Danio rerio: one gene and its partners. The main gene of each other region encodes a partner of the protein of the gene in region 2 in a complex. Links are inferred from orthologs where the notes say so. Each region holds a gene or a part of one and is shown on either strand. Other genes may lie near its edges. The genes, in order: gab1, ptpn11b and pdgfrb.

What was found.
Region 1: the proteins of ptpn11b (region 2) and gab1 are in contact, whole or in part, in a crystal structure (PDB 4QSY), measured with the Homo sapiens proteins. The link is inferred for Danio rerio from reciprocal best matches to the Homo sapiens genes PTPN11 and GAB1. Residues at the interface, in NP_002825.3 of Homo sapiens: Gly13, Val14, Glu17, Arg32, Pro33, Ser34, Lys35, Ser36, Thr42, Arg47, Thr52, His53, Ile54, Lys55, Leu65, Gly67, Gly68, Tyr81, Gln87, Leu88, Lys89, Glu90, Lys91, Ile96; in NP_002030.2 of Homo sapiens: Lys623, Val625, Glu626, Tyr627, Leu628, Asp629, Leu630, Asp631, Leu632, Asp633.
Region 3: the proteins of ptpn11b (region 2) and pdgfrb are in contact, whole or in part, in a crystal structure (PDB 1AYA), measured with the Mus musculus proteins. The link is inferred for Danio rerio from reciprocal best matches to the Homo sapiens genes PTPN11 and PDGFRB. Residues at the interface, in NP_001103462.1 of Mus musculus: Gly13, Val14, Glu17, Arg32, Pro33, Ser34, Lys35, Ser36, Thr42, Thr52, His53, Ile54, Lys55, Leu65, Gly68, Gln87, Leu88, Lys89, Glu90, Lys91, Gly93, Ile96; in NP_032835.2 of Mus musculus: Ser1005, Val1006, Leu1007, Tyr1008, Thr1009, Ala1010, Val1011, Gln1012, Pro1013.

The regions. Positions count from the first base shown.
Region 1 is NC_133176.1:38,714,704-38,725,697, reverse strand, and holds part of gab1 (GRB2-associated-binding protein 1), read right to left. Parts: intron 8,524-10,994; coding exon of another isoform or gene 8,434-8,523; intron 5,717-8,433; coding exon 5,073-5,716; intron 1,973-5,072; coding exon 1,878-1,972; intron 1,268-1,877; coding exon 964-1,267; intron 1-963. UniProt on the Homo sapiens protein: Adapter protein that plays a role in intracellular signaling cascades triggered by activated receptor-type kinases. Plays a role in FGFR1 signaling. Probably involved in signaling by the epidermal growth factor receptor (EGFR) and the insulin receptor (INSR).
Region 2 is NC_133198.1:26,917,748-26,928,741, reverse strand, and holds part of ptpn11b (tyrosine-protein phosphatase non-receptor type 11b), read right to left. Parts: intron 10,793-10,994; coding exon 10,679-10,792; intron 7,680-10,678; coding exon 7,583-7,679; intron 7,468-7,582; coding exon 7,388-7,467; intron 7,250-7,387; coding exon 7,094-7,249; intron 5,688-7,093; coding exon 5,556-5,687; intron 4,871-5,555; coding exon 4,716-4,870; intron 1,109-4,715; coding exon 1,041-1,108; intron 955-1,040; coding exon 803-954; intron 15-802; coding exon 1-14. UniProt on the Homo sapiens protein: Acts downstream of various receptor and cytoplasmic protein tyrosine kinases to participate in the signal transduction from the cell surface to the nucleus. Positively regulates MAPK signal transduction pathway. Dephosphorylates GAB1, ARHGAP35 and EGFR.
Region 3 is NC_133189.1:3,755,323-3,766,959, reverse strand, and holds the start of pdgfrb (platelet-derived growth factor receptor beta), read left to right. Parts: upstream 1-5,865; 5' UTR 5,866-5,949; intron 5,950-11,637. UniProt on the Homo sapiens protein: Tyrosine-protein kinase that acts as a cell-surface receptor for homodimeric PDGFB and PDGFD and for heterodimers formed by PDGFA and PDGFB, and plays an essential role in the regulation of embryonic development, cell proliferation, survival, differentiation, chemotaxis and migration.

The DNA of each region.
Region 1 (10,994 bases), on a different chromosome or scaffold from region 2:
ACGTTATAATTCGTATAACATTATGTTGAAAACTGATAAACTTAAAATAAAGTAACAGAAACATGTCATGACTTTGAGTGTATTATTTTTTAGTGTACGTCAGAGCAACATATCTATGCTAATTATTAAGTAACATAACTTTTATGCTTTACGCATAAATTATATCCAATTCTGTTTTCATATAAAAACTGAAAACTTTTAGCAGTTCATTGACATGACGATAATGTATTGGGGGTCTGAAAATTTAAGTTTTAGAAAGCAAAAGCCATAATTGTAGTAATTGTATGAAGAATTGTATGTCACTATCATGTAAACGAACCCTGAGCTAACCAAATATGTAAACCATATGGACTACATACAAAAAATGATGGTTATAGTGTGTATTTGATAAACAGTAGTATTTCAGAAACTGTAGTAATTAAAGATACAGAATTGTTTCTGATGAGCAGAGCAGAGCACTGCTGCCATAATGTTTAGATCAATAGTGCTGTCCCAGCTGGCTGCTGATGTTTCGGCCTGCTTGTGCAACTTTCAGCACGTCCCCTTTTTTGTCTTGGACCAGATTGAAATTCCCCTCGCAGGTCTGGCCATCAAAGAGGTCTTTGACTAAGGCACAATGGGGACAGAGGTGACCGCTCCAGGCTAACGGCACAGACAGGCTCCCTCATACCCAGAGCTCTGAATCTGTGGACAAAAGCTTCTTTCATTTGTGAGGTCACATGCTAACGATTAAAAGGCAAAGGCCACTGAAACCGTGCTGTGGACTAGTTCGCTAAAGATCTGAGTTTTGGGATCTGATCAGCAGTTTTTGATGCGGTTTTATAAGCATGGGCCGGCACCTGTTAGTAGGAAAGGTTGTAATGAAAGCAATGGAATTAGTACTTGTTAAGTTGCTGCGCTGAAGTGATGCAAGCACACAAATTTCTCTTAACAGAAAAGATAAAAACAAACCTCAGGGCTCACCTTTACGGTCAGGTTTGAGGTTGCGGTCTATGGGTGGAGGTTGGCATTCAGATATAGGAATCGGTCTACGGGGTGGTGTCTTGGGACTGGACCTGAAGCCCATGTGGGCTGGAGGGGGCACCTGTTTTCCAAGGGAAGAGAACTCCACTGTGCCTGGTGTCATGGGGACGTAGTTGGGCTCCTGTATAGGTTCTGATAGGCTGCCGGAGCGCTGATGTGACAAAGAGTGGACGCTCATGGGAACATAGTTTTCATCCATTTCCTCTGTAGAAACACCTCCTACTGGCACCATGCCTTTATTTTTCTACATGCATACAAAAACAGACACAGGTTAGAAATATTTGAGACACTTGAAAGAAAGGGTAAAAATGAGCACTGGGATATTCAGTGCTCAGCATATACAAGTACACCCCTCAGAAATCTATCTTTTAAACTCATATTTTTAATAGGAAGCTATATTATATTTGTGCATATACATTATATTAGTCAGTACTGAAGCATAATCTGGAGCTTATCTAACAAAATAAATTACCAAAATGGTCCAAAAACAAGTTCACCCAAATTTATATGATATAGAAAAATATTAAATACAAATTCAGAAAAAGAGGAGAAATCAATAGAAGCGAAAAAATTGAAAAAAATTAGTTGAAATTTTGTAGGTTGTAATTTTTTTTTTTTTTTGCAATATTTTGCTTGAATTTAATTGTATTATCTTTTAATTTCTAAATGTTTGGTGACTGAAATATTATTGTAATAAATACATCTGTTTAATAAATCTGTTTTGTTTAAATGCACCAAAATATGTTGCTTATATTCACTAAGAAATGGATACAAGTATTCATTTTCAAAATGGGGTGTACTCAATTATGTAGAGCACTGTATAAAGATAAAGCTTAATAAGATAGAAAACTTACAAAATAGTTGTTGAAACTTTCATTAAAATCAAACGAGCAACTTTTTTCTGAAGGGAAGGGCCGGGGTATATCATAGCAATCTTGAGATCCGTAATCTGTGGAGAAAAGAAATGCAAAAAGATAATATTTAATGTGTTATTATATTTTTAACTCTGTTACTGCTCTGATTGAATGTTCAGATGTGATTACTCCAAGCATGTCACGTCACATGATCCTTCAGAAATGTGAGGAAGGGAGTGCATGTAAACAATCTCTCAAACTCTCACAATACCATCACACAACACTAGAGGGACCCCCTCGCGACTACAGGATTTCACCACAAACAGCTTGATGATAGAATTGTCAATCAGAAAAAAATAGATACAGAGCAGACCTTAGTATTCATAACTCTTTAGAATCATTTAATTTATTTTACAGAACTACACCAGCTCTCTACCACATCATTCTGCTACCTGCTTGATGCATTGAATATGTCCCACAAAAATTAAATATTATTATTAATAACTTTTATCAGCCTTTTTTCCAGTCCATCCCTTGTATAAAGTGCTATAGAAATGAATGTAATTTGTTTGAACTCAGATGTTTAAGGTTAGTCTTTGTATGATCAATATTGAAAACAGAAGCTTGCTTAACAATAGTTGTTGTAGGCTTTGTGATACATCTTCTTATAATACTTTTGTAACACTGCAAATGTCCTTACTGTCAATCAGTTTAGTGCGTCATTGCTTCTTAATCAAAGTGACACTACCTGACATGCAGCAGACTACCAGCACTGAATACCATTCTTCCCAAGATTGCAAGGACGCCATCTGCAAATCCCTCCAGTTTTAAAACTGGAACCAGCAAATGTTTTGTTCTTCGACAAAATAAGTAAACAGAGAATCCTATTCTTTTTCAATCTGTGTCTTCAATAAAGCTTATTTGACAAAAAATGTTGTGTTCAAACTATTGGGGTAATGACACAACAAACTGATGGCCATTGCTGGGAACTGTATTTTTTCAGTGTTTTCCATATGTTTGCTCTAGTTGATTTCACATCTGCAACAGTTTGCCGATTCATCATGCTGAATAAGCCTCAGGGCCATCAGCGAGGCAAATCACTCAGATTAGCTATTCAGTTTACGAGAATTAAAATGACAGTAATGAAAATTCCACAGACAGTATGCTGTTCTTGTGTTGTGTCATCATACCTGAGCATTCCAACATGCAAATATTTTCATTATTTCATGGTGTTTGTAATGAAGAGAGTGACCAACATAATTGATATTAAAAACCATAAGCAAGTGCTGCTTTGTTCACCATTTGCATTTATGCAATTCTCCTTTTGGTTTCTCTTTTCAGATGAGGAATACTGATTACTAATACCTGCTGATAAAGACAATCAATTCCTTACATGTACGGGCATAACACATGTCTTTGAAATGTGTTTACAGAATGCCATTTTGCCCAGATGCAATCAATGCACAAAATTCTTTAAGGGGTAGTTCAGCCAAATATTTGAGTTCTGTTTTTAATTGTTTACCATCATGTCATCTCATGCCCTGAATCCTTTATTCATTTTCATAACACAAATAAAGATTTTTTTTTATTTAATTCAAGAGCTTCCTCATGCATAGACAACAACATTACTAAGATGTTCAAAGTTCATAAAAAGGACCAAAAACAGTCAAAATATTTTCATGTCCATTTAGTGGCTCAACTGTAATCATACCAAGCTCCAAAAACACTTTTGTTTCACAAAAAACAAAACAAATCTAAATATACCTTTGTTGGCCGATGTTTTTCATTTAAAAAATGTACTATAGGTAATATATGTGCTTGCATGTCATGTAGTTGACAATGTTTGGGTTTCCTTTTTTTACTGGATTTTGACTCTCTCTGGACCATTTCTGTCTATAGAGGATGAGGGAGCTCATCAACAATATCTTAAAGAGCACCTATTTTACCCCTTTTTTTCAAGATTGAATATCTAATAAGTATTTTGTACTTTTTTTGTACTGTCTGTAAAGTTTTAGATTAAACTGCAGATCAGTTTATTTATTCTACCTTTCTGAATCTGGAAAATTTGAGCTTTTAGGTCACTGTAGTTGTTTTTGTTGCCTGTGCATTTAATGCAAATGAGCTAGTTCTCCCCGCCCACCGTTCCCGCATGCACCTCAGAGCCATAGAGATCTTTCTGTATAGCTCTGCATGTAGCCTTCACCTGCTGCAACTCATGTCAGATAAACAGCACAGTGACAGACAAGAATGGGAAATATGACAGTAAGGACTTATGGTTATTTGATGCATTTGTTGTGGAGTTAATTAAAGATTTTCTGGAACAGTAAGTCACACAATGGCGCAAGCATGCACACATGCTAACATGTTTAACTTTGCACTGTTTTGCACAGCAAATATGACAGGATAGACGTTAATATGCACTGCTGTATGGACATCCATAAAAATGTATAAAATGATATGATGTATAAAATAAACCTGAGTTAAGTCCACAAAATAGGATTGAAGCATCTTCTTTTATAATCAGACTGACACTATGCTGCTGTGGTGATGAATTACAGCAATTTTACTGTGTTTTCTTTATTACAAACATGCACCGTTTTAAAAACGTTTCAAACTTGTAAAACTCACTCTTGAGGTACAGATGATCACAGAGAGCTGAACAGATCTTTTACCAGTTGCTTTGCGCAAGACCTGTCTTGTTAATATAATTATATGCGTATAGCGGAGATATGTTAATATGCGGCTGTCAATCTATTTGGTGGGGAGGGAAAACCGTACTCCTACATCACATTGCGGTGGGCCTCAAAATGGGAGGGATTTGGATCCTATCTTAACGTCAGAATATTTAAAAAAAAAAAAGAGACTTATTGTCTTTATATCACCCCAATATGACTGTGGACACATTATACCTGCACACAGCTCTGTCTAAGCTTACAAAAGTTGATATTCATCATAGGTGCCCTTTAAAGTGTGTTTCGAAGATAAACAAAATGTCAAATGAGAATTCGACCAACATGAGAGAGAATAATTACTTAATTTTATACGTTTATTTTATTCTTTGACTTTGGCTTGGTGTGACACCCATTGTGAAACTTACCTGTCTTAATAACTAAACGTTAAGCTAACTGCTCTTATGCTTAAAAAAAATGAAGGTTAAAATAGCACACATGACTGAAATACATAATATTTTCTTACCTTTACGCAGACGTGAAGAATCCACCGTACCAATGGTGTTGCTTCTGAGTGCTTTGTTGCCTCCTGCACTTGTCGGAACACAGTAATTCGTATCAGTCTCAGACACTGACCGCGGTACCACATAAGTGTCTGTAGGCGATCGCTCAGGGGGGACTGATCCCCCACTCACTGAAGGCTTTGGTGGACGTGGTGGTGGAATTACCTCTGTGGACCCTGAAACAGCCTCCACTCCTGCTGTTCGGGGAACCTGGTAGGTGGAATTGCTGCCAGGTGTAGGTGGAATATCATAGCTAACTGACAAGTTCCGCAAATGGGCCTCTAATGAGGGTTTCCGACCAGGTGTGTTAAAGACATAGAGTTCACCAGGTTCACCGTCAGGAATGGGAGGGGAGGTCGCCGACTTCGGCAGCAGCACAGTGTCCTGAGAGTAACTTCGGGGCAGGTGGTACAGGCCCTGTGAGTCGGCCGACAATGACTGCCCGCGCAAAGGAGGAGAATCGTAGAGCCCAGTGGGATGTTGGGTGGAAAAGAAACCATTGACCGGGGCGTTTTTGGAGGTGGAGGAGGTGGGTGTGTAGTGGGAAGGAAGGTTGTCATTACAGTCAGGTTCAGAGGAGGTAGACTTGGAGCAGTCGCCATGAGCCCTGCAAAGAAACCAAAGTATGAGATGCAGATTGTCAGTTAACTTTTCAATGCAAAATGTATTTAATAATGCAAATGAAGAGCAATTAAACTGTATAAAATACACTGTAATGTTCATGTTCTAAAACTAGTCATGTCATCATGCTTTTTTGCATTACAAATTAGTCTTAAATACAAAAATATAGAAAGTTTATTATTTAATAATTAACTGGCACTTAAAAGTTAATATACACTCAGTATGTCATTAGTGTGTGGTAATTGATTGCTGAAGTGGTTTATTTTGCAATAATTGTTCATTACAGATGCATTCAATTGTTTAGTACTAATTTAAAACTATAATGTGTTTTAATTGCCATGATGAAATGATAAGTATTGCCTTGATGAAACAATGTGTTTCTCTAATCCTCAGAGAGAACTGACACACTTCCTGTTGTAGATGCAATTGTAACAGTGTAGTTTTGTCGCAAAAAGTGAAAAATTACTTATTAACTTTAAAAAAAGGAAATCAGTACCTATAATATCCAGAAAAGGACTTAAACCAAGTAAAACAAAGCCTGGAAAGATTAAAAACTTGTCAATACCCAAGATTGAGTAATTCACGTTCCTTTATTTATTCATGCAGCCACTAAACCTTACTATTATACCAAAGTAATACTAATGCTAGAAAAGAAAAACTACTGAATGCACATTAAATCAATAAATAGATTATTTGAAAATCATTGACAGCTATGACATTAGAACAAAACAAGTGTGTCATGAGAGAAATAAAGTATCTACACTGTGAGATTGGCTGTCTGGGATGATGGTCAAATATAAATAACAATCAATACACAATATTGACCACAGATGGCGACAATTAAGGCTCTGGAGTCCAGTATACTTTAGGTGAAACTGAAGAATTAAATGGTTTGAAAAAACAAAAACAAAAGAAAAAACATAAATTTAGCTTTAGTTGGTAAACATCTTCAAACTATTATTGTGCTCCAGGGCTCTGTCTTCTATGATTTGGAAATCTGTTCCAATTTCTTTACTTTTAAGCCCATACAAGTTAAGTGATACATCTAAAAAAATACAGAGAACAGTCACTTTACAGAAGAAACTGAAGTGTAATTCTAAATGAAAGCAATATTAACACTGCATTGTCATGATAAAATCTGTCCAGATGCATGCTTTACAGTAATCTTCTGTTTAAAGTGCTACATAAATATTCTTAAAGTGTCTTTAGTTGACTAAAGTGACAAATCCACAACAATATGATCAGATGCTTTTTTTAATGTTCTTATTACTGTCATTTGCAGTTATTTTGTTATGGAGAGATGAGTGACACATACAGTGCATCCGGCAAGTATACATAGCGCTTTGCTTTTTCCACATTTTTTTGTTACAGTCTCATTCCAAAATGGGTTAAATTCATTTATTTCCTCAAAATTCTACACACAATACCCCATAATGACAAAGTGAAAAAAGATGGAAGCCACTCCCCACCTGGAATTTGCCAAAAGGCATCTAAAGGACTCCCAGACCATAAGAAACAAAATTCTCTGGTGTAAGGAGACTAAATTTGAACTCTTTGGCGTGAATGCCAGGTGTTACGTTTGGAGAAAACCAGGCACCGCTCATCATCAGGCTAATACCATCCCTGCAGTTAAGCATGGTGGTGGTGGCATCATGCTGTGGGGATGTTTTTCAGCTGCAGGTACTGGAAGACTAGTCAGGATAGAGGGAAAGATGCGTGCAGCAATGTACCGAGACATCCTGAATGAAAACTTGCTTCTGAGTGGTCTTGACCTCAGACTAGGGAATCGGTTCATCTTACAGCAAGACAATGACCCAAAGCACACCGCCAAATTAAAAATGGAGTGGCTTCATGACAACTTTGTGAATGTCCTTGAGTGGCCCAGCCAGAGCGCAAAATTAAATCCAATTGAACATCTCTGGAGAGATCTGAAAATGGCTGTACAGTACACTGTCGCTTCCCATCCAACCTGATAGAGCTTGAGAGGTACTGCATAGAGGAATGGGCAAAAATCCCTAAAGACAGGTGTGCCAAGCTTGTGGCATCATATTCAAAAAGACTTGAGGCTGTAATTGCTGCCAAAGGTGCATCAACAAAGTACTGAGCAAAGACTGTGAATACTTATGTACATGTGATTCTTCAGGTCTTTAAATTTTAATTAAATTTGCAACAATTTCAAAAAATCTTTTTTTCACATTGTCATTTTGGGGTATTGTATGTAGAATTTTGAGGAAATAAATTAATTTAATTTATTTTGGAATAAGGCTGTAACACAATAAATTGTGTAAATAGAGAAGCACTACGAATACTTTCCGAATGTACTGTATTTACATAATAACTCAGTATAATTTAATTCACTTTAAAGGTACACCAAGTTAGTTTCAACTCTTCATGAACATCCAGGGAAAAAAAATAACATTGCTGATAGTATTTCAGGGCATTTAACTAATCGTTATAAAGTGTTACAACCAGGTTAGTGTCAAACCCAACCATGCATGTCACAATTCACACAAATCCCAATTAAAACTGTGCATTCACAGTTTTAGATACACAATGCAAAACAAAAACTAAGTAAAGTATTTATTTTAGGAAGTTACTGAAAAAAGGTATGCACACATTCAGGTAAAAACAACAGTGTCAGACTATTGGCCAAATGTGTGTGCGGTTTAGTACTGAATTTTCACACTGATGCTCTTCACTCACTGACTGTCATGAGCAGCGCTCCGGCTCTCACACTCCTCCAAAAGCAGGTATTCCTGCTCCTCCTCCCCTAGACAAAGAGGAGCAACTAGACTACACCACACACAAATACACACAATGAGCCCCTTATTTCCAGATCTTTACTCATCATACCTGAACGTACTCAAAGCTTTCAGTAGAGGTGGGCGGTTTTTTACATTACATAACGCTGATACTGATATACACTGATATAAATACAACAGACTCAAAAAGGGAACAATCCTATATAACAAACTGTTGGATAAAACAATGCATTCCAATGGCAACTAATTTAGTGGCTAATTTGTATGATCTCATTTAGGGCTGCACGATACATCGCTTCAGCATCAAAATCGCGATGTGCGCATCCGCAATAGTCACATTGCAGGAGGAGCGATGCAAAGCAAAAAAAATAATAATAACAATAATATATATATATAACTGCCATATTATTTTATTTATTGTAAAGTTAATTGTTGGTAATTATTAAAACAAGTTTATCTTATCCACAATTGTTTTATAACATGTTTATTTTTTTTTAAACCACTCAGGGGGTTATTGTTTAGCTGTTTTTATATTTTTACAATTTTGTGACGAGATATTTCCTTCTGTTTTTTAATTGTTGTAATAAAAAAGTTTGTAATTGTTAAAAAGTTAAATAACTTATTTTGTCACTCGTGTTAATTCCTAAATGTGATAATAAAGTGTCATCTTTACATTCACCAAATGAGCTTACCTTTATCACAGTAAAAGCAACATTTAGTATTAATATCATAACATATTAGATCCTTGATTTATCTGAATTGACAGTTAAGTCATATTTTTTATAAACAACCCAAAAGAAAGTGTTTTTACTTATTAATTTTTATATTCTATGAAAATGCTTAAAAAATTACCCAAATTATTATAGAATTAATGATTATTTAATTTTTGAGCAGTTCAAAACTCCCGATTCTGAATTTTTAAAATATCGCAATATATATCGCAGGGAAAACAAATATCGCAATGTCAATTTTTTCCGATATCGTGCAGCCTTAATCTCATTCATATATTTTAGTACGATTTTCCCATCTCCCAGAGAGGGGTAGTGGTGGGTTTTTGTGCCCATGCCTCCTGTTAAAAATCATATATATTCATAAGAACGAAATTGCATGAACTTTTTCGAGTTGACCATTTTTTTTAACAATATGCACAAAAGTTACATTTGCTCGTGAGATGTTGATGGATGAGCCATCTTTTAAAATAGCCAATAAATGGGTCCCTCTTTATTCGAGGGAGTTATGTTCTAAAAATAACCCACAATAGGCAAAATCCTTGAAATAGTCTGCTTTATTTTTACAATTATTATAGATGTTTTAAGGCTGTAAAACTTCTCATAACATACTTCATACACTTTTCTCAGACAGGCATTAACCTTTTCACACTTTTAGCTCTTGTTTAAACACTCACAAAGTTCAAACCTTCGTAGAAAAATAAGTCCAGTGTTATAAAATGTAACCAAATATTTGATTGATCATTTATTTATTTTCTCTAATGACACCCTACAGCAGTGTAACTTCTACCTTCCTTTAGCATGTCCAGAAGTTCTACTTTTTGTGGAATGGTTAGCATCTTCCTCTGCCTTTTACAGTAAAGCACTTTAGAGTAACATTGCTAGCGATCGAAGATGTATGTAAATTTGGCAAGCTGAACGCATTCTGTACTGTACAGAAAACACAGCATTAAGGAAATTGATTGAAAACTTTCTACAGCCAATCAGGGCACAGAACACTATCAGGGCGCAGAACACAATACAATGTAGAAAAATAGCATGTCGAATTGCACAAAAAAATGGTGAAACTGCGAGGCTGCGAAAAGTGAACCGTTATGCCAAAGGATGTCTGTATACACATCTGTAGCTATGTTTCCATCCAAAGATGCAAAATAAAACTATGCGCAAGATTAGAATATTACATAAAAAGAGTTGAGATTAAAGAAGCACTTCCATCCCATGAGTCAAAGAGAACAAAATAGTCACGTCCTGATAAACTGGTGCCAAATATCAAAAAGAACAACGGAATTTGCTGAGGTACAGAATAAATCGCTTGTGCTTGAGAGGACAATGCCAACACGACGATCTTGACAGTTCTGGAGGCAACTAATACTATAACAATAATACTGAAATAGTTACAGCATACTAGAATGACCAAAACAACATGTCAGATGTTTTACAATGTTGTCAGCATGCTCAGTTGTCCATTAATGCATCCCATCACATGCATTCTCATCATCACATGAAGTCTTAAAACAAAATCACATCACTTTTTTAAAATGAATGTATTCTGTAAAAGTGTTTCCATCGTAGTTTATGTGCATTTTTTATTGAATTAAACGTTTATTGTATTAATCGTATTATTTATCGAATTTGTTTTCATAGCTTATCGTATTATTTTTTTATGCGCATCATCAAAGTTTATATGCATCTTGGCATTTTAATCAAGCATTTGTTAATGCAATAATCCAAAATGTGCACAAAAATAAGTGTATGGAGACATAGCTTGGGATTT
Region 2 (10,994 bases):
TTCGTTTTGTTCCTCTGAAAATGTCAAGAACAAAATCATGAAGCTAAAAATTCATTTGATAAAAATAAGGCTTGTCAAATAGCATTCCATTGTAGTAAATATGTTAATGCATTCAGTTTTAGCCATAAAAAAATGAATATGGGAAAAATATTGTACTATAAGATCGATGCTGCCTAATACATAAGGCAAAAATAAAATGTAGGCAATATCTCAAACTGCACATAAAAATATAAGAATGGTTGTGTTTGTGTCTGGTTTGGGGGAAATTTGATAGATCTGAAACAACATTCCTGAGGCATGTTTAGAAACATCATTCCATTTTGACAAAAAAACTTTTAATAATAGTTATTAGGGCTTGACATTAACACCAGTCAGCCTGCCAAATGTGGGTAGATTTCAGCTGTGGCAGGATAGACAGTTACCTCAACTAATGTTAACATTCATTCATCTATTCATTCGTTTATACATTTATTCATTTTCCTTCTGCTTAGTCTCTATTTCAGAGGTCTCCACACAAGAATGAACCGCCAGCGCCAACTATTCCAGCATATTTTTTATGCAGCGGATGGGCTTCCAGCTGCAACCCAAGACTGGGAAACTAATGTTAACAAAGATGAATAAATACTGCAATAAATGTATTGTTCATTGTTTGACCATTTTAGCAAATGCATTATCTAACACTAGCTAATACATCCTTATTGTAAAGTGTTTCTGTTTGACTTTGACTGTACTGTAGCATGTAATTTATATATATATGTATCTCCATCACATTATTTTGATTGAAAATGTAGTGTTCAAGCACCTGCTCCTCTTCTAGTCTCTTCTGAGCAGTATCAATGTATTGCTGAACAGCCATGTAGATGAACTTGTACTGGGCTTCAGTCTGAACCATACCGGACCGCTGCTGTCGCACTCTCTGAATCGTTTTTGGGATGTCAATGTCACAGTCCAGCCCTTAGAGAAGCAGTTCAGCTGTGTTAAATGTAATCAATGACAGACAAAAAAGACACCACTGGGATAATTCTGTATGAAATGCTTACCTTGTCTATTTATGATGTCGATAAGAATGTCAATCACGATAATTGTGCCTGTTCTTCCAATCCCTGCACTAGAATGACAGCAACAGTGGGACATTTACATTGTGGAGCACAGCTTTTAAATTCAGTACACCCCTCTTTGAAAATTTATATTTTTGTCCATTTCTTAGTGAATAAAGCTAATAATTTTGTTGCATTTAAACAAAACAGTTTAATTATACAGTTATACCTGTTAAAAAATGGGGGGGGGGGGGTCACCTTACATCTTCACGAATAGAAAGATAATACATTTAAATTCAAATAAAATAATAATAATAATAAAATAAAAAGAATTTACAAATTAGAAAACAAAAACTACATTACATATATTTTTAAGTTTCTCTTGATTTTTCCTTTTTAAATAAAAATTTGCTTAACATTTTCCCCAACATATTAATTTGGGTGTACTAATTTTTGGACTGTGACCTTCCTTTTTTAGATTAGTTCCATTTTTTTTACTTTTGTACTAACTAGTCTAATGTTTTTGCACATATAATATATTATTGAATATGAGATTATTAACTATATGAGTATAAAGTATCAATATCAAGTATCACTGATATTAGTATAAAGTATATGAAATTAAAAGAGAGATTTGTGCGGGACGTACTCATTTATGCACAGAACTGTACACATTATAAGGATTTCAGTACTGTAATTCTTTATCGTAGTTTTTCTTTTAACCCTTCATAGGGCACTCATTGAAAAACTCTTCAGAAAAAACATGATAAGTTACTTTGGTTTGGGAAATTACTTTTGTGACTTAAAACAAAATTATGATTATATTCCAATCAATGTCAGTGAAGTTACCTGGTTTCATGATTAATAAAGGGTTAAAGGAAAACTTCAGTCCATTTTTTTCACCTTGGTGTTTTACTAATGTCTAATGTTACACTTTTTTTTCACAATGCAAAATGAGTGTTTTTTCTTTAATGTATTTTGATTTGGCTCATCCACTGTACATAACGAGAGTGTATAGAAACCAACATCAAGCTTTTATGATTCCATGCAAGGTGAAGTTTCTAAGTGTTCTGGAAACATACAATGAGTTTAGGTGAAAAACAACCCAACATTTACTTTATTATCTAATTCTAATCGTTGCTGCTGGTCTTCTACGGGACTGCTCTCATAAGACACCACTGAATATGCTAGTGTTAGCTCAAGCAGAGTTGTTTCAGAAGCATTTTCACTATATATTTTCTCTAATATAAATTCATAAAGTCTTGGTTAAAATTTAATAATTCATGAAACAGTCTTAAATTTAAAGAAAAAAATTATGCATATTTATATTTTTATGTAAATTAATTGGGATATGAATGCAATTGTTACTGCCGTTACGATAAGGCACTAGAAAGTGAAAAGACTTTAGCAGAAATACCAGCCTGATCTCACGAGGAAACTTAATTATCTTACGTTTTGTCAGGTTAGTGGCTAATTCGTACAAATTTGTACGAGTTCAGTCGTACGAAAATTTACTATTTTAAAAAAGAAGGCGTGGCACCCAACCCCACCCCTAACCCCAACCGTCATTGGGTGATGAGCAAATCGTAGTAAATTGTACGCATTAGATCGTACAAATTTATACCAATTAGCCACTAAATTAAAAAGTTACGAATTTCCGTGAGATTGCATTAGAAATACCCAGATATAAGTCATTAATGGCATAGGCTGTAAAAGGTTAATGAGGAGCCAAACAGTCATTCATTTATATTTGTTTTTGCACCAAGCACTATAATTTACCCTAGAACACTTGGAATATTCCGCACTAGGGTTGACCAGCAGTCCTGCATTTCTGGCAGTCCAAAATTATATATTTTTTGTGACCTATTTTTTCTTTCCTTAAAAACACCACAGTAAAATGACCACATTTATCTTGGTTTTTATATATAGTGTGTCATATGTAAGTTACAGTAGACAAAATATCCAACCATAATATTTATAGAGAGATTTTTTTTCCTCACTGATGATAACTGTGTGGACAAAGCAAAGCAACAAGTGTAAATTAAATAAAATAAATACATTTAGCTCAGTTTTTAAATACATATGTGTAACTGTCATGTGTAGGTTACAGGAGAAAAAATATCCAACCATAATATTCATAGAGAGATTTTTTCCTCACTGATGATGACTGCATGGACAAACCAAAGCAACCAGTGTGAATTAAAAGTAAGCAGCAGCAACTGCCAACCAAACGTCCTGTTCAAAGCTTCCTGAACGAACATGAAATACAAGTTCAATATGCACTAAATCCAGTTTGTCTAGCCTAACAAAGAAACTGTCACTGCATATATGATCTGTTATAGTCACTTCATTATATTTTACCACATTGTATAACTCCAAGCAGAGCAGGTTCAGTACCTGTTGAAAGCGACATCTAATGTCATTGTAAAACAGGCTTGAATAGTTCAATTCATTTAAATCAATATTTATGTAATCTAATATTAGTGAATGTATATCTCTTGTGACCTGCATTGTCCTGGAAAATTCCCACAGCAGATCAGTAACCAGGTGATTACCCTATACGGCATGTTACGTGATAGCAGCTAAGACACAAAGGTTTCACAGAATAATGTGTATAGCAGAAAAATATCCAACCATCTGATGATACAGATGATGAAACTGCTAGGATGATGAAACAGAGTGTGCACACTTTTGTGAGGTGCAGCGGCACTAGAGGCTGCTTTTATGGTTGGCAGATTGGCAGGACTGTTTAGGATTGTTGCTTAAATATAACTGTGAAAGTATTCTGCAGAAGAAAGTCCATTTAAATTTTCTTTTATTCATTAAATTCTAAGTTTGTGGTTCACTTTCCTCTGGAGTTATTGCCATTTGCATGCATTTGAACTGGATGGCACACGGCAGTCACATGAGATTTATTTTTCTGATAAAATTATTATTATAGAGATATATTCAAAGAAGAAACCATGTATAATCCATACAGTGATGTACCTGTACAACATTTATTTTACAAATGGGCGATGGCAAGTTTTGACTTATGATATTGGGATATTTTTGATTGGCCATCAGGCTAGTTTTGGGGTATTTTGGATGGGCATTGGGTTTTATTGCAAAAACCTGGCAACCCTGATACCCACCTTCCTAGTATGTGCTATTACTAATGTGGCTATTGCGCCGGCTAGACCGACCACAAAGGTGAACATATAGTGCAGCAGACAGCTGAAAATAAATACCAATGACGGAAGTGACAGAGTGAATAAGAATCTAAAGATTTTTTTTTTGTATTTTTTGGTTTTCAGTCATTGATAGTGTTTTAAAATCAAATGTTTGAAGCATAATTTAGATTTAATTACATCAGAAAAAACATCTATTCTAGTGTTTATTTGAGTATGACCTTTAAATAAACTAATGGGTTTTTAAAATAGCTACATTTTTAAGGCAAATGAATGAATGGAGTTTTCAGAAAATGAATAAATGAATGAATGGACTTTTCATTAGAATTCTCTTTTTGTGTTTGGCAAAAGAAACTAATAGCATAAATAGCATATAGCATTTGAAGGACATCACAGGGAATAAGTATTGGATTTTTTTATGGGGGAAGGGGGGAGAACTGTGCCTTTAAGACCACATTTAGCAAAATAATTAAATAAATCTAAGTAGAACGTGTGAGCTGTGTAGTACCTGCAGTGAACCACTATGGGTCCGCTCTCTGGAATGGCGCTCTGGGTTCGGTTCACTTGCTCCAGGAAGCTCAACACTCCTCCAGGTTCATTTGGAACACCGTGATCAGGCCAACTCAGGTACTGATAGTGCCAGATACACCTGGGAGGCTCTCTCTGTAATTACAAAAAGTATTTATGTATGCATGTATGTATGTATGTATGTATGTATGTATGTATGTATGTATGTATGTATGTATGTATATATGTATGTATATATGTATGTATGTATTTATTTATTTATTTATTTATGCCATATCAGCAGTATGTCTATGTCAACATTGGAATTGAATATTAAGTTTATAATTTACAATCATAACTGTTTCTAAACAAACATGCATTATATAAAAACATATAGATATCACACTGATTAAAAGTCATGAGAGTTCTTTCATTTTGACCAATGATAAATAGGGTAAAATAGAAAAAGGAGACATCTTTTTAAAAGTTTCCCTTAAAAAAACGTTCTCTAATATAACTTGAAAATATACAGTACCTTCTATTAAAACATGTTTTATGGTCTAAATATTCGTACACAGGTCACAAATAGGTTTCTCTTCCCCTTTCAATGAATATGAATGAGTAAGTCCTGAGTGAATTACAAAAAAAAAAAAAAAAGAAACATCAAATGATAATTTACAAAATGAGAAAAACTACATCCAACCTAGATTAGTAATGTAAAGTAATACAGGTTTGAAGTAAGTGAGAAGATTCTCTCCAAGCTGCTACTGTAAACAACAAGGTCAAAGGTTATGAACTGCCTCTGGCTGCAGCATGTCATCTGTCATCGCATTGCTCTTACCCTGTCTAGACGTGTGACTTCAAGCTCTCGCCGTATGTAGTCCTGAGCTGTGTGTTCCTCAATGTTCTTCACACACACCTTCCCAAACTCCTTTGTTGAATTCAAGTCTGGCCAGTACCGCACACATTTATTCTATAGGGAGAAGTTCAATGTTTAGTTCCCAAAAAAAAATCTGTGTTGTCTATTTAGCTATACAACATTAGTGGATTCTCAATTTTCTCAAATTATGCATTAGAAATTTTTGGTATATAAGAAGAATCACATTTTTGTTCAAAATAATAATCATGTTTCATCCACGATTCTGAATTGACAAATTAAAGGAAAAGTTAAAAAGTTCCCAAATAGATCCCAAAATTTTAATTTTGCCATTATTTAGTCATCCTCCATTTTTCTGATGAACACAAGAGAATCTATAATAAAAAATGTTGGAAAACACAACAATTGACTTTCATAGTGTTTTTTGTTCCTACTATAGATGTCAATGGTTGCTTTTTTGCAAAATTCTTCATAATATCTTGCTTTGTGTTTAACAGAAAAAAAGAAATTCATTAAAGTTCATAATCAATTAAGTACGAGTAAATAAGGAGGAAACTTAATTTTTTTGGTGGACTTCAACAAAATGACATGTAATATACTAGAGATTTGGACACAATGTTAATTTAATTAATTCCCATCGGTTTGAAAGGTTGATTTAATCACTGGCTTATATAGACCTCACTTGTTTCATTACTGGATGAATCAGCCCTTTTGAATGACTCTCTTGAATAAATAAGTCAATGACAAATGCATTTTTAATAGTAACTTATCACCACCTTTTGGCGTAACACTGTAATTGATAAACATTATTTATAAAATAGTGTTACTTTAAAAAATATGAATGTCTATTTTGCTGTGCAATATTCAATAGTGGTTACATCAAAACTTTAATCCCAATACTTCTGCAATAATTTGACTAATAATCATACCATAAGGTTGAAGAGACCAAAGACTGACGCTGTTTCATAATTTTATGCCAACTGGGATTGCACTCGTCAGATGTTTAATAAATAAAACCAAATCATTGTGGCTGGAATATATAATTGTATGGGTAATTGAATCAAGATTGTCATCATTTAGCAGTTTTATGGTCAGTGTATTTAAAACTGATATGAATTCTGAATGAATTTCTCCCCCCAAAAATATAAATTACTTTTATTATCACAAATAATTAAGGAAATATAATTAAGAGCATAAAAAATATTTTTTTTTATAACAAATTGTTTATTTTCTTATATTCTATGTATCCCATGACAAACAATATAACATAATATGACAAAAAATAAAATAAAATAATATAATATAATATAATATAATATAATATAATATAATATAAAATAATATAATATAATATAATATAATATAATATAATATAATATAATATAATATAATATAATATAATATAATATAAATATAAATGTATTAATGAACGATCGAATGAATGAATGAATGAATGAATGAATGAATGAATGAATGTACAATATTTTCATCCTGGACCTTACCCGTCCTCTCTCCATCTCCTTGGTTGTCATGACAATAACATGTGTATTTTCCTGATAAACCATTTTCCAGAAGTCCAGGACTGTGTTCTGAAGGCAGCCCTGAGTAGCGATGAACACTTTACCTTCATCCATATGACGTCCTTCTTCATTCACGCTCTAAATGAAAAAAGAACAAAATCAATAAGGATAAAAAGAACATGCAATCTCTAAACTTATTGATCACAGCTCAACAACCCAGCAAAAGCTTGACATTCAGATTGACGTGTAATCATTACGAGCGAAGCGGGGTCTTACTCGGATATAGTTAGCGTTGATGTAATCGGATCCGGGAACATCAGGATCCGCTTCCTTGATCTGCACTCGAGTGGTGTCAACTGCAACCCAGAAAATGATGATCAAAGCATGAACAAGAGCCCTGGAGATTAACCGTTGCATTATGAAACATGCCTCTCCCATTAAGAAACCAGAAAAATACAGCACGTTACTCACATGGTAGTATATTCTTATATCTGTTCTTGTTTTTATTTTCTGGTCTCTGCCCCTCTTTCCTGGGGTAAAGGAGTTTACATTCTTGTTGCTGTAAAACCTGCAGAACCACAGGAGACAAAATAAAAGACAGTCAGGATGAAATGTGGATCCATGTTTAGATTTAATGTTTAGTTATAAAATGTCTGTTAATTAACAGATTCTGTATTTTGCAATTCACAAGCGTTCTCTGCTTATTTGCGACTATGAATTTGCATTATGGGACCTTTATCTTTCGCCCGTGAACCTTTGATATTAAAAATTCAACTGTGCAGTTCATCAAATTGACTTTTATTGACATTTTAGCAGTTTGAAACAATATATTGTATAATAAATAATACATAGAGATCTAGCAACTTTTTAACATAAAATGCTGTTGGAGGAAAGATCAAGGTCCCATAATGCAATTCAAAAGCATAAATAAATGAAAAGATGACAGTGTTTGATGGATAATAACTGTTTCATCCAATAAATGTGTGTGATATAATTAGGTTTAAACCAGCTCTGCAAAAGTTGCAAAAGAAGTAAAATGTAAATAAAATATATTTTAAATCATGCAACTCATATATGATGGTGGTGCTCTTTTCTCATTTAAACAATTTGTGGACACATTTTCTTTTCTAGTCCCCCTAACTAAAAAGTATTTATTTTTTTTAGTGAAATGCCTGACTTTATTATACCTGGCCCTAAAGCTCCTTTAGATTTTTCATATTGACAACACAAACTTTTTTTGTCGACCAAAATCTTCTCAATTCCAAGTCAAACAAAGACATCCGGTATCTCATATCTTTTTACTTGTGTAATTAAAAAAAAAATCATCATTTGTGACACACTGTAGAATGGGAAAAGTTTTGGTTTCTTCCACATAAATTCTTCTCATCTTATAAAGTTGGTGAAGTCTCTTTTAAAATTATTCAGAATTGCTAAATGGTAAATTACAAACTTGCTATTTAATAATAGTATTTTCCACAAAAGTTCTTTTTTTATCTTCAGTCGAAGATTCAGTCGAAACATTAAGTAATTCATTTTGCAAGTGCATGTATTGCAAAGTTTTGGCTTGACTTTTCAATTTATTCATTCTTCATTCATTCATTCATTCATTCATTCATTCATTCATTCATTCATTCATTCATTCATTCATTCATTTTCTTTTTGGCTTAGTCCCTTTATTAATCTGCAGTTGCCACAGCGGAATGAACGGCCAACTTATCCAGTATATGTTTTACACAGTGGATGCCCTTCCAGCTGAAACCCATTACTGGGAAACCCATACACTTTTTTGCACACATACATACACATTAGCATACACATTAGCCATACAGAAATGCCAACTGACCCGGCTGAGGCTGACCCGGCCGAGGCTGAACCAGCGACCTTCTTGATGTGAGGCGACAGCACTACCTACTGCACCACTTGACTTTTCAATTTTGTTGACAAATACTTATATCCAGACTTACATACAGCCCCCAAATTATTACTTTTTGGTTACTCTTTGTATCTAGACCCTTCTTACTATAATTGTATAGCTTTTTGCATCCATTAAATGCAACGTTTCAAACACAATCCTTTACTTTTTATTTTCAGGAAAGACTTTGATATGCATGTCAACTCTTTTAAGAAAGTCTAATTATTTTATTGCTTGTTGTAAGTCTTATATCTTACAGGTAAATTAGGTAGGCTAAATTGTCCATAGTGTATGAATGTGTGTGTGTATGATGGCTGGAAGGGCATCCGCTGCATAAAAATGTGCTGGATAAGTTGGCAGTTCATTCCGCTGTGGCGACCCCAGATTAATAAAGGGACTAAGCCGACAAGAAAATGAATGAATGAATAAATGATGCGATTTCAGTTATGTAACCCTCCTTATCTGTGTGTTCCTAACTTTGCAAAAGTTTTTTCTTTGCTTAATGATAAAAAGAAGACCATAATAATAATAATAATAATAATAATAATAATAATAATAATAATAATAATAATACACAGTAGTCTGCTTGTAAAGCTTTATTATTGTGATAATATTGTGAATACATATTCACGTTATACCTATATTTTACATCTTTTGATTAAGTTATACATTAAAACCAGAAATTATTCATGCAACATATAAATATTTTTATATTTATTTTTACTAGTGGGTGCATGTAACTATAGTTAAATTAACATTTACAATTGAGGTTCCTAAAATAAAGTAAACTGTGACATATTATACCCCAAAACTGTTCATAAGGTGGACTAAAAACCAACATGAACTTACGAAACTGCTGCAGAAAATAATGAAGTTGAGATTTGCATGAAGCTGACTGAAAGCAGAGACTACAGGCTGGCATTGTGTCAAAATGTGGAAAAAACACTTGATAATTGTGCAAATATTGTCAGACTACAAATGCATTATCCTGAATAATTTTTGTTGATTGGTAAAAATAACATTATGTAATGGTTATCTTAGCCAAAGTTAAGTTGATTATTGCAATTAGTCAGTTCTAAAACAGTTTAAACTAAACTACAGGGAATAAACTGTGATAATGTGAGAATGTCCTTGAATCATTTTTGGTTTCACTGTAACTTGGGTGTACAAGAGTGAGCTTGCCAAAAGAAGATATTCTGAAAAATGCTGTTAGCTTGAACCCATTGACTTTCATAGTAAATGTTTTCCAACTATGGAAGTCAATGGTTACTGGTTTTCAGCTTTCTTTGGAATATCTTCTTTCATATTCAACAGAAACATACAAAGGTTTAAAAACCACATGAGGGAGAGTAAATGATGAGGTAATTTCCATTTTTTGGGTGAACTACCCCCTTTAAAATCACATACATCCAAATTTTGCTGTGTAATGAGAATGTCAGCACCCCCTACAGGAATGTCCCGTTTATCTGGACAGCTTCCACCCTACAGGAACTGCGGTTTAAGAGGTCAGCTAGCAGAGAGGCTTTCTATAAACAACTCTCATATCAAACAGCGGAAAATCCAATCTATTCCCAAACAAAAACCTGGACTGAATCACCACATCCCATGACTGTAACAGAAAATATGAGCAGACAAATGCACAAGGCCAGAAATACCTCAAATTCTTCCCAGAAGCCTTGCTTGGGTTTCTCGGAGTTGTCGGCAACTTTATTTAGTTCGTGTACCCTGTTCTCAATGTTTGCAGCATTTATCCTCGTGGCATTGAATGGCTTGAATATGATAAGAAGAGAGAGCAAAAATTAAAAAAATGTAACTTTAAAAAATGAAAATGTGGCATTTAAGTAATAAAAATTAAGTAAGGCAAAACACACTTTAAGTTAAACACTTTGTTGTAAAACTGAATATATATCACTATGCTTAAGGATTCATAATATAAAACGATACAGTATGCATTTACAGTATGTTTGGGTA
Region 3 (11,637 bases), on a different chromosome or scaffold from region 2:
ACCAAATTTTACTCACTTTAAAATAGAAATAAGTCATTACCTTTGCACGATAAAAGAAACAAAAAATACCAAAGCAAAAAGAACTGTTAATTATTTTGAAGCCTTAAATTTTGCTTTTTGAATAATTGTTATTTTATATATATATATATATTTTATCTATAAAAATAATTGTTATTATTATTATTATTAAATATTATTACATAATTGTTATTATCTTCTTATATTGTACTTGATTGGATGTTAATATAATGTTGTTATTGTCCTTGTATGTTCTGTCTTCTAAAAATGCAGTAAAAATATATACATACAGTTGAAGTCAGAATTATTAGCCCCCCTGAATTATTTGCGCCCCTGTTTATTTTTTTCCCCAATTTCTGTTTAATGGAGGGAAGATTGTTACAGCACATTTCTAAGCATAATAGTTTTAAAAACTTATTTCTAATACCTGATTTATTTTATCTTTGCCATGATGACAGTAAATAATATTTTACTGGATATTTTTCAAGACTTCTATGCAGCTTAAAGTGACATTTAAAGGCTTAACTAGGTTAATTAGGTGAACTACGCAGGTTAGGGTAATTAGGCAAGTTATTGTATAATGATGGTTTGTTCTGTAGACTATCAAAACAAAAAATAGCTTAAAGAGGCTAATAATTTTGTCCCAAAAATGTTTTTAAAAAAATTAATAACTGTTTTTATTCTAGCCGAAGTACAACAAATTAGACTTTTTCCAGAAGAAAAAATATTATCAGACATACTGTGAAAATTTCCTTGCTCTGTTAAAAATAATTTGGGAAATATTTAAAAAAGAAGAAATAAATCAAAACTGACTTCAACTGTATATATTCCCAGTGCACACACTTAAATATGTCAAAACAAACTTGTATTGTGGACGTGATTAATCACGATTATTTCTTTCCCAGCACTAATACTAATTCGATATTTTCATTTCGACATCATGAGCAGAAAAAAAGCCTAAACCAAGGAAAGGAATGTACAATAACAAACTGCTTGTGACAAGCCAGCATTGTAATTCTTTGGCACAGAACTTTTTATTCCTGCACTATTTTAGAGTGTGTAGCCTGTTGTTGTGGCTCCTGTGTGTGTCTGTTCAAGGCCTCTAATGAGTCTCTGTTGATCTGGACGTTTTGTGTTCACTCGCACAATTACAAGGCGAATGCCAACAACCTCTCTCTCTCTCTCTCTCCCTGTAATAAAGAGAAAGGTCTTACTCAGCTGTTGGACGTTGTTATGAATTTGCAAGGCACTCTGCTTGCTGCCTGGAAAAAGAGAGAGAGAGCAGAAAAGCCGGGATTGAAAACAGACCCTCATACTTTGTGTTTAAGTGTATGCGTGAGCTCTCAGCACCCTGCGCCGCTATTATTGACACACCTTCCCTTCACCCCAGACCGCACTTTATTCCATTGCATTTTCCATTTTTCCCCAGTTTGGCAGCGAACGCCGTCTGCACAGAGAGCTCGTTTAGCGCTGAAAAGAACTTTCTCTCCTCGTTTTTGTTTCTTCTTCTTCTTTTCTCCTCTTCAGCTGCATGGGCACTTTCATTGTGAGGGCTGCCAAAATCCATCTCATTTCCCTGCGGCTCGTGTTTTCAGCGAATACAGAAACAGGCGACTGTTGCTGAGGAGTTCTGGCCGGGATTTCATGTTGTTTTGTGTTTCTTCAGGTCCACCAAAACACCCCTGGACGACGGATCTGCACACGGTACTGATATGTTGTTTTCAGGAAAATGTCAATGCTTGCAGGGTGGTTATTTCCTTCTGATTCTTTTAATGAAACTGATACACAAAAAAATGACAACACAACTTTCAGAACGTGCTACTTTGACTCATTTTAATTAGTTAATCAAGTGTCAATATATATATATTTTTTACACTTAGTCTGTGTAATTAAAATTTGCAATGTTTATTTTGCTAGCACACATTGTTATTCTTTAGGTAAACTATGAATTTAAGTTTATCCACTGCAAAAAGGTAGTTTAAGTATCAAATTCATCAAATTCTGAGCATTTGCTTCTGCGTTTGGAGGGGTGGTCCTTCACTGATGATGTCAGTTTGGTGGTTCAGTCACAATATTCCTAGCCACACCCCTCTTACTGTTAGTTTGCTTTGAGGGAATGGTGCACAAAAACAAAGCTCCGCCCCCTACTCAATATTCAGTTTTAGTTTGAAACGCAACAACATATTGAAATGAAAAGTCTGATGATGTCAGTTTGACGCTAAAGCCACAATATTCTTAGCCACGCCCCTCTCACCATTAGTTTGCTATGAGGGAATAGTGCACAAAAACAAAGCTCCGCCCCCTACTCAATATTCAGTTTTAGTTTGAAACGCAACAACATACTGAAATGAAAAGTCTGATGATGTCAGTTTGATGCTAAAGCCACAATATTATTAGCCACCCCATCTTACCATTAGTTTGCTATGAGGGAATAGTGTACAAAAACAAAGCTCCGCCCCTACTCAATATTCAGTTTTAGTTTGAAACGCAACAACATACTGAAATGAAAAGTCTGATGATGTCAGTTTGATGCTAAAGCCACAATATTCTTAGCCACGCCCATCTTACCATAAGTTTGCTATGAGGGAATAGTGCACAAAAACAAAGCTCCGCCCCCTACTCAATATTTAGTTTTAGTTTGAAATACATCAACATACTGAAATGAAAGGTCTGATGATGTCAGTTTGACGCTTAAGCCACAAAATTCTTAGCCACGCCCATCTTACCGTTAGTTTGCTATGAGGGAATCATGCACAAAAACAAAGCTCCGCCCCCTGCTCAATATTCTGTTTTAGTTTGAAACGCATCATCATACTGAAATGTAAAGTCTGATGATGTCAGTTTGACGCTTAAGCCACAATATTCTTAGCCACGCCCATCTTACTGTTAGTTTGCTGTGAGGGAATGATGCACAAAAACAAAGCTCCGCCCCCTACTCAATATTTAGTTTTAGTTTGAAATACATCAACATACTGAAATGAAAAGTCTGATGATGTCAGTTTGATGCTTAACCCACAATATTCTTAGCCACGCCCCTCTCACCATTAGTTTGCTATGAGGGAATAGTGGACAAAAAACAAGCTCCGCCCCCTACTCAATATTCTGTTTTAGTTTGAACAAATCAACATACTGAAATGTAAAGTCTGATGATGTCAGTTTGACGCTTAAGCCACAATATTCTCAGCCACGCCCATCTTACCGTTAGTTTGCTGTGATGGAATGTTGTTCAAAAGAAAGCCCCGCCCCATACTCAATATACAGTTTCAGTTTGAAATACATCAAACTCCTAAAATAAGTCTGATGATAGCAGTTTGATGCTTGATGCACAATATTCTTAGCCACGCCCCTCTTACAAATAGTTTGCTATGAGGAAATGATGTGCAAGAGAAAGCTCATCCCCCCCACTCAATATTCAGTTTCAGTTTGAAATACATCAACATACTGAAATGTAAAGTGATGATGTCAGTCTGATGCTTAAGCCACAATATTCTTAGCCATGCCCCTCTTACAATTAGCTTGCTATGAAGGAGTGTTGCACAAAAGAAAGCACCGCCCCCTACTCAATATTCAGTTTCAGTTTGACACGCATCAACACACTCAAATAAGTCTAATGATGTCAGTTTGACGCTTAAGCCATAATATTTTTAGCCCCACCTCTCTTACCGTTAGTTTGCTGTGAGGGAATGTTGTGCAAAAGAAAGCCCCGCCCCCTACTCAATATTCAGTTTCAGTTTTTAATACATCAGCATACTAAAATGAAAAGTCTTATGATGTCAATTTGACTTTCATAGTACTTGTTTTTTTCCTACTTTAGAGGTCAACGGTTACTGGTTTTGATCATTCTTCAAAATATCTACTTCACTATTCAACACAAAGAAAAATCTAAAATTCACTTGAGTAATGGATGAGTAAATGGGGAGTACATTTTCATTTTAGGGTGAACTATCCCTTTAAGGTTTAGCCTGTGCTATACTTTTGCAGTTACGGATGTTGGTGTTACTAGTGAGTGAGTTTTCAGCATTTTTCAAAATATCTTCCTTGGTGTTCAACAGAAGAAAGAAACTTAAAAAGCTTTTTAACCACTTGAGGGTGAGAAAATAGTGAGTAAATGTTCATTTCTGGGTGAGCTAACTAGTGAAGCTTATCTCTTTTCAAACCTTTACACATTTCAAACCTGCAATAAACACAAAAGAAGATATTTTGAAAAATGTTGGAAACCTGTAACTATTGGCTTTCACAGTAATTGGTTTTCCAACTATGGATGTCAATGGTAACCGGTTTTCAGCATTCTTCTACAAAAGGAAGAAAATTATGAAAGTTTATAATCATTTGAGGGTGAGAAAATAATGAGTAAATGTTCATTTTTGTGAACTAACTAGTGAAACTTTACTCATTTCAAATCTTTACTCATTTCAAACCTGCTATTAACAAAAGAGGATAGTTTGAAAAATGTTGCAAACCTGTAACCATTGACTTCCACTGCATTTTGTTTTCCTATAAGTTTCTTCTGCTAAACACAAAAGAAGATATTTTGAAAAAATGTTGCAAACCTGTGACCATTGGCTTCAAAAGTATTTGGTTTTTCTACAGTAGAAGTCAATGGTTACCGGTTATCATCATTGCTAAAAATATCTACTTGCAACACACTAAAGAAAATCAAAAATCCACCTGAGGCTGAGTAAATAGTGAGGTTTTCTTCATTTTGGGGTGACCTATCCTTAAAAGTTTAGTCTGTGATATACTTTCGAGGGTAGGGATGTTGTTTTTACTAGTGAGTGAGTTTTAACATTCTTCAAAATATCTTCTTTTGTGTTCAAAAGAAACTTATAAAGCTTTATAGCCACTCGAGGGTAAGAAAATAATGAGTAAATGTTCATTTTTTGGTGAACTAACTAATGAAAACTTTTACTCATTCCAAACCTGCTATAAACACAAAAGAAGATAGTTTAAAAAATGTTGGAAACCTGTAACTATTAACTTCCATACTATTTTTTTCAACAATGGAAGTCATTTGTTACCGGTTTTCAGCATTCTTCAACAAAAGAGAGAAAATCATAAAAGTTTATAATCATTTGAGGATTAGAAAATAATGAGTAAATGTTTATTTTTGTGAACTAACTAGTGAAACTTTACTCATTTCAAACTTTTACTCATTTCCAACCTGCTATAAACAAAAGAGGATAGTTTGAAAAATGTTGCAAACCTGTAACCATTGACTTCCAAAGCATTTTGTTTTCCTATAAGTTTCTCCTGCTAAACACTAAAGAAGATAGTTTGAAAAATGTTGGAAGCCTGTAACCATTGACTTCCAAAGCATTTTGTTTTCCTATAAGTTTCTTCTGCTCAAAACAAAAGACGATAGTTTGAAAAATGTTGCAAACCTGTAACCATTGACTTCCAAAGCTTTTTTTTCCCTATAAGTTTCTTCTGCTAAACACAAAAGAAGATAGTTTGAAAAATGTTGCAAACCTGTAACCATTGACTTCCATAGTATTTGTTTTTTTCAACTGTAAAAGTCAATGGTTACCGGTTTTTAGCATTCTTCAAAGTATCTTCTTTAGTCTTCAACACAATACAGAAAATCAAATGAGGGAGAGTAAATAGTGAGTAAATTGTTTTGGTGAACTATCCCTTTAAGCTTTAGTCTGTGCTATACCTTTGCAGGCAGGGATGTTGGGTTTACTAGCCAGTGAGTGAACCCTGCTGTGGTCATTTGACTAAACAAACAGATCTGCTGGCCAGCCTCCTCTCCGTCTGGGACCCCGGAGACTGCAGCTTTAGCTCCATCCCTCCCTCTCGCAGCTGTACGAGAGACCACTACTAAACGCCAGAGAATTGGACACTGTTGCTCACACGTACAGAGACGCAGACGAGGAGAGAAGTTAGCAAGAAGAGGCTTTTCCTAGACATGCTTTAAATCCAAACGTCAAGGTAAGAGATGGGACTTTACTCTCCTACAGTTTTTGAACCGAGAGTTTTACTCCATGATGTTTTTAGTTTATTTTCTCAGTGAACGAGTTCCAGGTTTAAACAGTGAAAGCAATGATGTGAAATTTAGAGGAGTTAGATTGAACTTGTCGTAACTCTTTGGGTGTTTGTACAGTGTTCAGCATATTTGAGCTCACCCCTCACACATCTATCTTTTAACTGTATATAGACCATTTTCATGGGTGTAAACAAACACAGTGGTCCCAACGTATTTCCTTTTGTACATTTTTAATTCAGCTTCCGAGAGTCCAAAAAGAGCCACATATTGGTAACTAATGTTATGATAGCTGTTTTAACATTATGTTATGATGGAATTGCCTCTTGTTACAGTTATTAAATGTTCATGGACCAATGACATGACCACATTGAAATGGTCTATAGCAGGGGTGTCCAAAGTTGAGCTTGTCCTGCTGACTTTAGCTCCAACTTGCTTCAACAAACCTGCCTGAAAGTTTCTAGTTGTGCAATAATATTGTGCAATATTGTGCAGAAGAGACTTAATTCTTTCATATCACATTTTACCTGTTTTTATGCTTTGTTTTGTTTTTACGCATTTTTATTATTTGTTTTTATTTTTATTTTACTTGTTTCTTTTATTCTTGTTTATGTAAAGCACTTTGAATTGCCATTGTGTATGAAATGTGCTATATAAATAAACTTGCCTTGCCTTGCCTAGTATACCTAGTAAGAGCTTGGTTAGCTGGTTCGGGTGTGTTTGATTAGGGTTGGAGCTAAACTGTCCAGGACATTGGCCCTTTAGGACTGAGTGTGGACACCCCTGGTCTGTAGGATGCTTTAGAGTAGTACAGTATGTGTGTTTTTTTAAGACACTTCTATACAGCTTAAAGTGACATTTAAAGGCTTAACTAGATTAATAAGGTTAACTAGGGTAATTAGGCAAGTTATTGTATAATGATGGTTTGTTCTGTAGACTATAGGGAAAAATAGCTTAAAGAGGCTAATAATTTTGACCTTAAAATGGTTCATAAAAAATTTTAAACTTCTCTTATTCTAGCCGAAATAAAACAAATAGGACTTTCTCCGGAAGAAAAAATATTATCAGACATACTGTGTAAATTTCCTTGCTCTGTTAAACTTCATTTGGGAAATATTTACAAAAGAAAAAAATTAAAGGGGGCTAATAATTCTGACTTCATCTGTTTATATATAAACTTAGTCCCTTTATTAATCCGGGGTCGCCACAGCAGAGTGAACCGCCAACTTATCCAGCAAGTTTTTACACAGCGGATGCCCTTCCAGCCGCAACCCATCTCTGGGAATATATATACAATGAAAAACTTTATTCAAAGATGACTCTTTGGATTTACTCAAATGTTTTACGTTAAGTGGTTGTAAACAATTTATTTGGGCTGAATTTAAACAAACAAATTTAGTTGAACATTATTAAACTTAATTTGTTTAAATTCAGCACAAATAAATTATTTGCAACAGTTCTGCATGCAACACTTTTTTTGTATAAATACTATACAAACTATACAAGTATCTTATGTAAAACAGAAAAAATATTGTGCAAAAGAGATATTTTAAGGTTGAAAAAGTAAGCAGTTTGACATGACTGTGGTAAATTCACAGGTAAACCTTATTGAGTTCTTGTAAGATAGTTTATGTGGTGATAATGGAGAAAATAGTGTTTCTACAGGTAGTTTGTTTGTTGTGACACTGAGAAATGCACAATGTTTTTTATAGAGATACAGAGTGATTGAATGTACATTTATTGTCTAAATTCACTGAGTAATGGAGGGTATACAATTTTTAATAGGGGTGTATTCATTTTGGCTGTGTAATGTGTGTTTCATCCAGATGTTGGCTCAGATGTTTAGATTTTTTTAAAGAAAGATTTATCCTGTCTTAAAGAATTTGAAGCATTTTTTTGTTCAGCTTTTGTTTGTTTAGCATCGATCTCTTCTGTTTATTTGTGTGTTAAACGTGTTGCATTTGACCGAGAATGTGCCGAGAGCAAACAGATCTGCGCCTTACAGTCAGTTTGAACACCTTTACACACCCTCGTCTTCACTGCAGAGGCTTTACAGATGTGTGTTTTCTTGTGAGGCATTGTAACGTGCTGTTGTGGTGGTTTGTTTGAGCTCTTCTGTTCTCATTGAAACTCTCGCTGCCTTTTCTTTAGTAGTTGTGTTTGTGTCGTAAAACACAACATTTAAAGAATTCCAGAATCTATATAATCTATAAAATCTAAATAACTAACAAACCAGACTGGTAATCTAACTGTACAATCTATACATATACTTTAGATACTTAACTATACACGTAATCTAAGACAAACTGTACAAGCACTTAATGCAAAACAGAATAATATTGTGCAGAAGGGATAGTTTAAGGTTGAAAAAGTAAGCAGTGCGACATGATTTGCGGTAAATTCACATGTAAACCTTATTGAGTGCTTGTAGGATAGAGTTTAAGTGGTGGAATTGGATAAAAGAGTGTTTCCACAGGTGGTTTGTCGAACCCACTCACCAGTGTGAGGGACATTCAGAAATGCGCAATGTTTTTATAGAGATACAGAGTGATTGTATGTACATTTATTGTCTATATTTAATGAGAAATCGATCAAATGTAAACTTTATTAGGGGTGTATTCAGTTTGGCTGTGTACTGTTTATTTCATCCAGATGTTGCCTGCGATGTTTAGATTTTTTTAAACAAAGATTTATCCCATCTTAAAGAATTTGAAGCATTTTTTGTTCAGCTTTTGTTGGTGAAGCATTGATCTCTGCTGTTTATTTGTGTGTTAAACGTGTTGCATTTGATCGAGAATGTGCCGAGAGCAAACAGATCTGCGCCTTACAGTCAGTGTTTGAACACCTTTAACACTCTCGTCAACACTGGAGAGGCTTTACAGATGTGTGTTTTCTTGTGAGGCATTGTAACGTGCTGTTGTGGTGGTTTGTTTGAGCTCTTCTGTTCTCATTGAAACTCTCGCTGCCTTTTCTCTAGTAGTTGTGTTTGTGTCATAAAAACACAACATTTAAAGAATTCCAGAATCTATATAATCCATTAAATCTAAATAACTAACATACCAGACTGGTAATCTAACTATACAAAATATACATATACTTTAGATACTTAACTATACACGTAATCTAAGACAAACTATACAAGCACTTAATGCAAAACAGAATAATATTGTGCAGAAGGGATAGTTTAAGGTTGAAAAAGTAAGCAGTGCGACATGATTTGCGGTAAATTCACATGTAAACCTTATTGAGTGCTTGTAGGATAGAGTTTAAGTGGTGGAATTGGATAAAAGAGTGTTTCCACAGGTGGTTTGTCGAACCCACTCACCAGTGTGAGGGACATTCAGAAATGCGCAATGTTTTTATAGAGATACAGAGTGATTGTATGTACATTTATGGTCTATATTTAATGAGAAATCGATTAAATGTAAACTTTAATAGGGGTGTATTCAGTTTGGCTGTGTAATGTGTATTTCATCCAGATGTTGCCTGCGATGTTTAGTTTTTTTTAAAGAAAGATTTATCCCATCTTAAAGAATTTGAAGCATTTTTTGTTCAGCTTTTGTTGGTGAAGCATTGATCTCTGCTGTTTATTTGTGTGTTAAATGTGTTGCATTTGACCGAGAATGTGCCGAGAGCAAACAGATCTGCGCCTTACAGTCAGTGTTTGAACACCTTTAACACTCTCGTCAACACTGCAGAGGCTTTACAGATGTGTGTTTTCTTGTGAGGCATTGTAACGTGCTGTTGTGGTGGTTTGTTTGAGCTCTTCTGCTGTCATTGAAACTCTCGCTGCCTTTTCTCTAGTAGTTGTGTTTGTGTCGTAAAACACAGCATTTAAAGAATTCCAGAATCTATATAATCTATTAAATCTAAATAACTAACATACCAGACTGGTAATCTAACTATACATATACTATAAATACTTATTTATAAATAAGACTAACTATACAAGCAATTTATGCAAAACAGAATAATATTGTGCAGAGGAGATATTTTAAGGTTGAATAAGTAAGCAGTGCAACAGGATTTGTAGTAAATTTACTGGTAAACCTCACTGAGTGCTTGTAAGGTAAAGTTTAAGTGGTGGAATTGGAGAAAAGAGTGTTTCGACAGATGGTTTGTCAACCCCACTCACCAGTGCGAGGGACATTCAGAAATGCGCAATATTTTTATAGAGATACAGAGTGATTTTGTTTGAGCTCTTCTGCTGTCATTGAAACTCTCGCTGGCTTTTCTCTAGTAGTTGTGTGTGTGTTTGTGTCGTAAAACGCAGCATTTAAAGGCTGAGAGAATTCCAGAATCTGGTTGTTTATATTCATGATTTTATTATATATTTTTAAAATCTATTTTAAGGTCAATATTATTAGTCAGCTTAAACAATACTGTTTATGATTGTCTACAGAACAAACCACTGTTATACAATGGCTTGCCTAATTACCCTAATTACCCTACTTAAGACTTTAAATTTCACTTTAAGCTGAATACTAGTATTTTGAAAAATATCTAGTCTAATATTATGTGCTGTCATCATGGCAAAGATAAAATAATAGTTATTAGAAATGAGTTATTAAAACTATTATGATTAGAAATGTCATGAAACAAAATCTCTCTGGTAAACAGAAATTTTTGGGGGAAAAAAGCAGGGGGGCTAATAATTCTGACTTCAACTGTATATAATCAATGAAGAAGTTAATTGAAAAGCTCAAGACAGCTTTAAGAAACCAAACGCTGTGTGTTTGGTGATTCCCGTGGGCTCTCAGGGGTCTCAGCCGGACCCTGTTCGCGAGCTCCGCTCATCCGCTGCTAATGGGGAGCAGATTTTTCCCGGGACTGGTATGCGAACCAGATGAGGGGCTCAGGAAACAGCTGGTGACGCAGTGCTCGGTCCGTCCCTCTATCACAGATCCAGCACACACTCACGTCTTACTCACACGCCTGACTAATAACAGAGCGTTCCTGAAGAACAGCACAGAAACTCCTCACCACACGCACAACAATGAAGCACATGAGTAACGGGACTTTTAGAGGACGCCGTGCCATGAAGGTTCTGCACCACAGCGTTACACTGAAAAACATGATTCATTGGATTTACTCAACTGTTTTAGGGTGAGTGGTTGCAAATGATTTATACGGGCTGAAATCAAACAAACAAGTTAAATTTAGTAATGTTCAACACTGTTTGTTTAAATTCAGCCCATATAAATAGTTTGCAACCACTTACCTTAAAATCTTTTGTTAAATTCGTTCATTCATTTTCCTTCAACTTGGTCCCTTTATTCATCAGGGGTCGCCACAGCGGAATGAACCACCAACTAGCATATGTTTTACAAAGAACACCTTTCTGGCTGCAACCCAATACTGGGAAACATCCATACACACTTATTCACACACACACACACACACACACACACACACACACACACACACACACACACTACGGACTATTTAGTATATTCAATTCTCCTATAGCGCATGTGTTTGGACTGTGGGGGAAACCGGAGCACCCGGAGGAAACCCATGGAGAGAACATGCAAACTCCACACAGAAATGCCAACTGGTCCATCCGAGACTCGAATCAACAACCTTCTTGCTGTGAGACGACAGTGCTAACCACTAAGCCAGCTTTGGTAAATCCA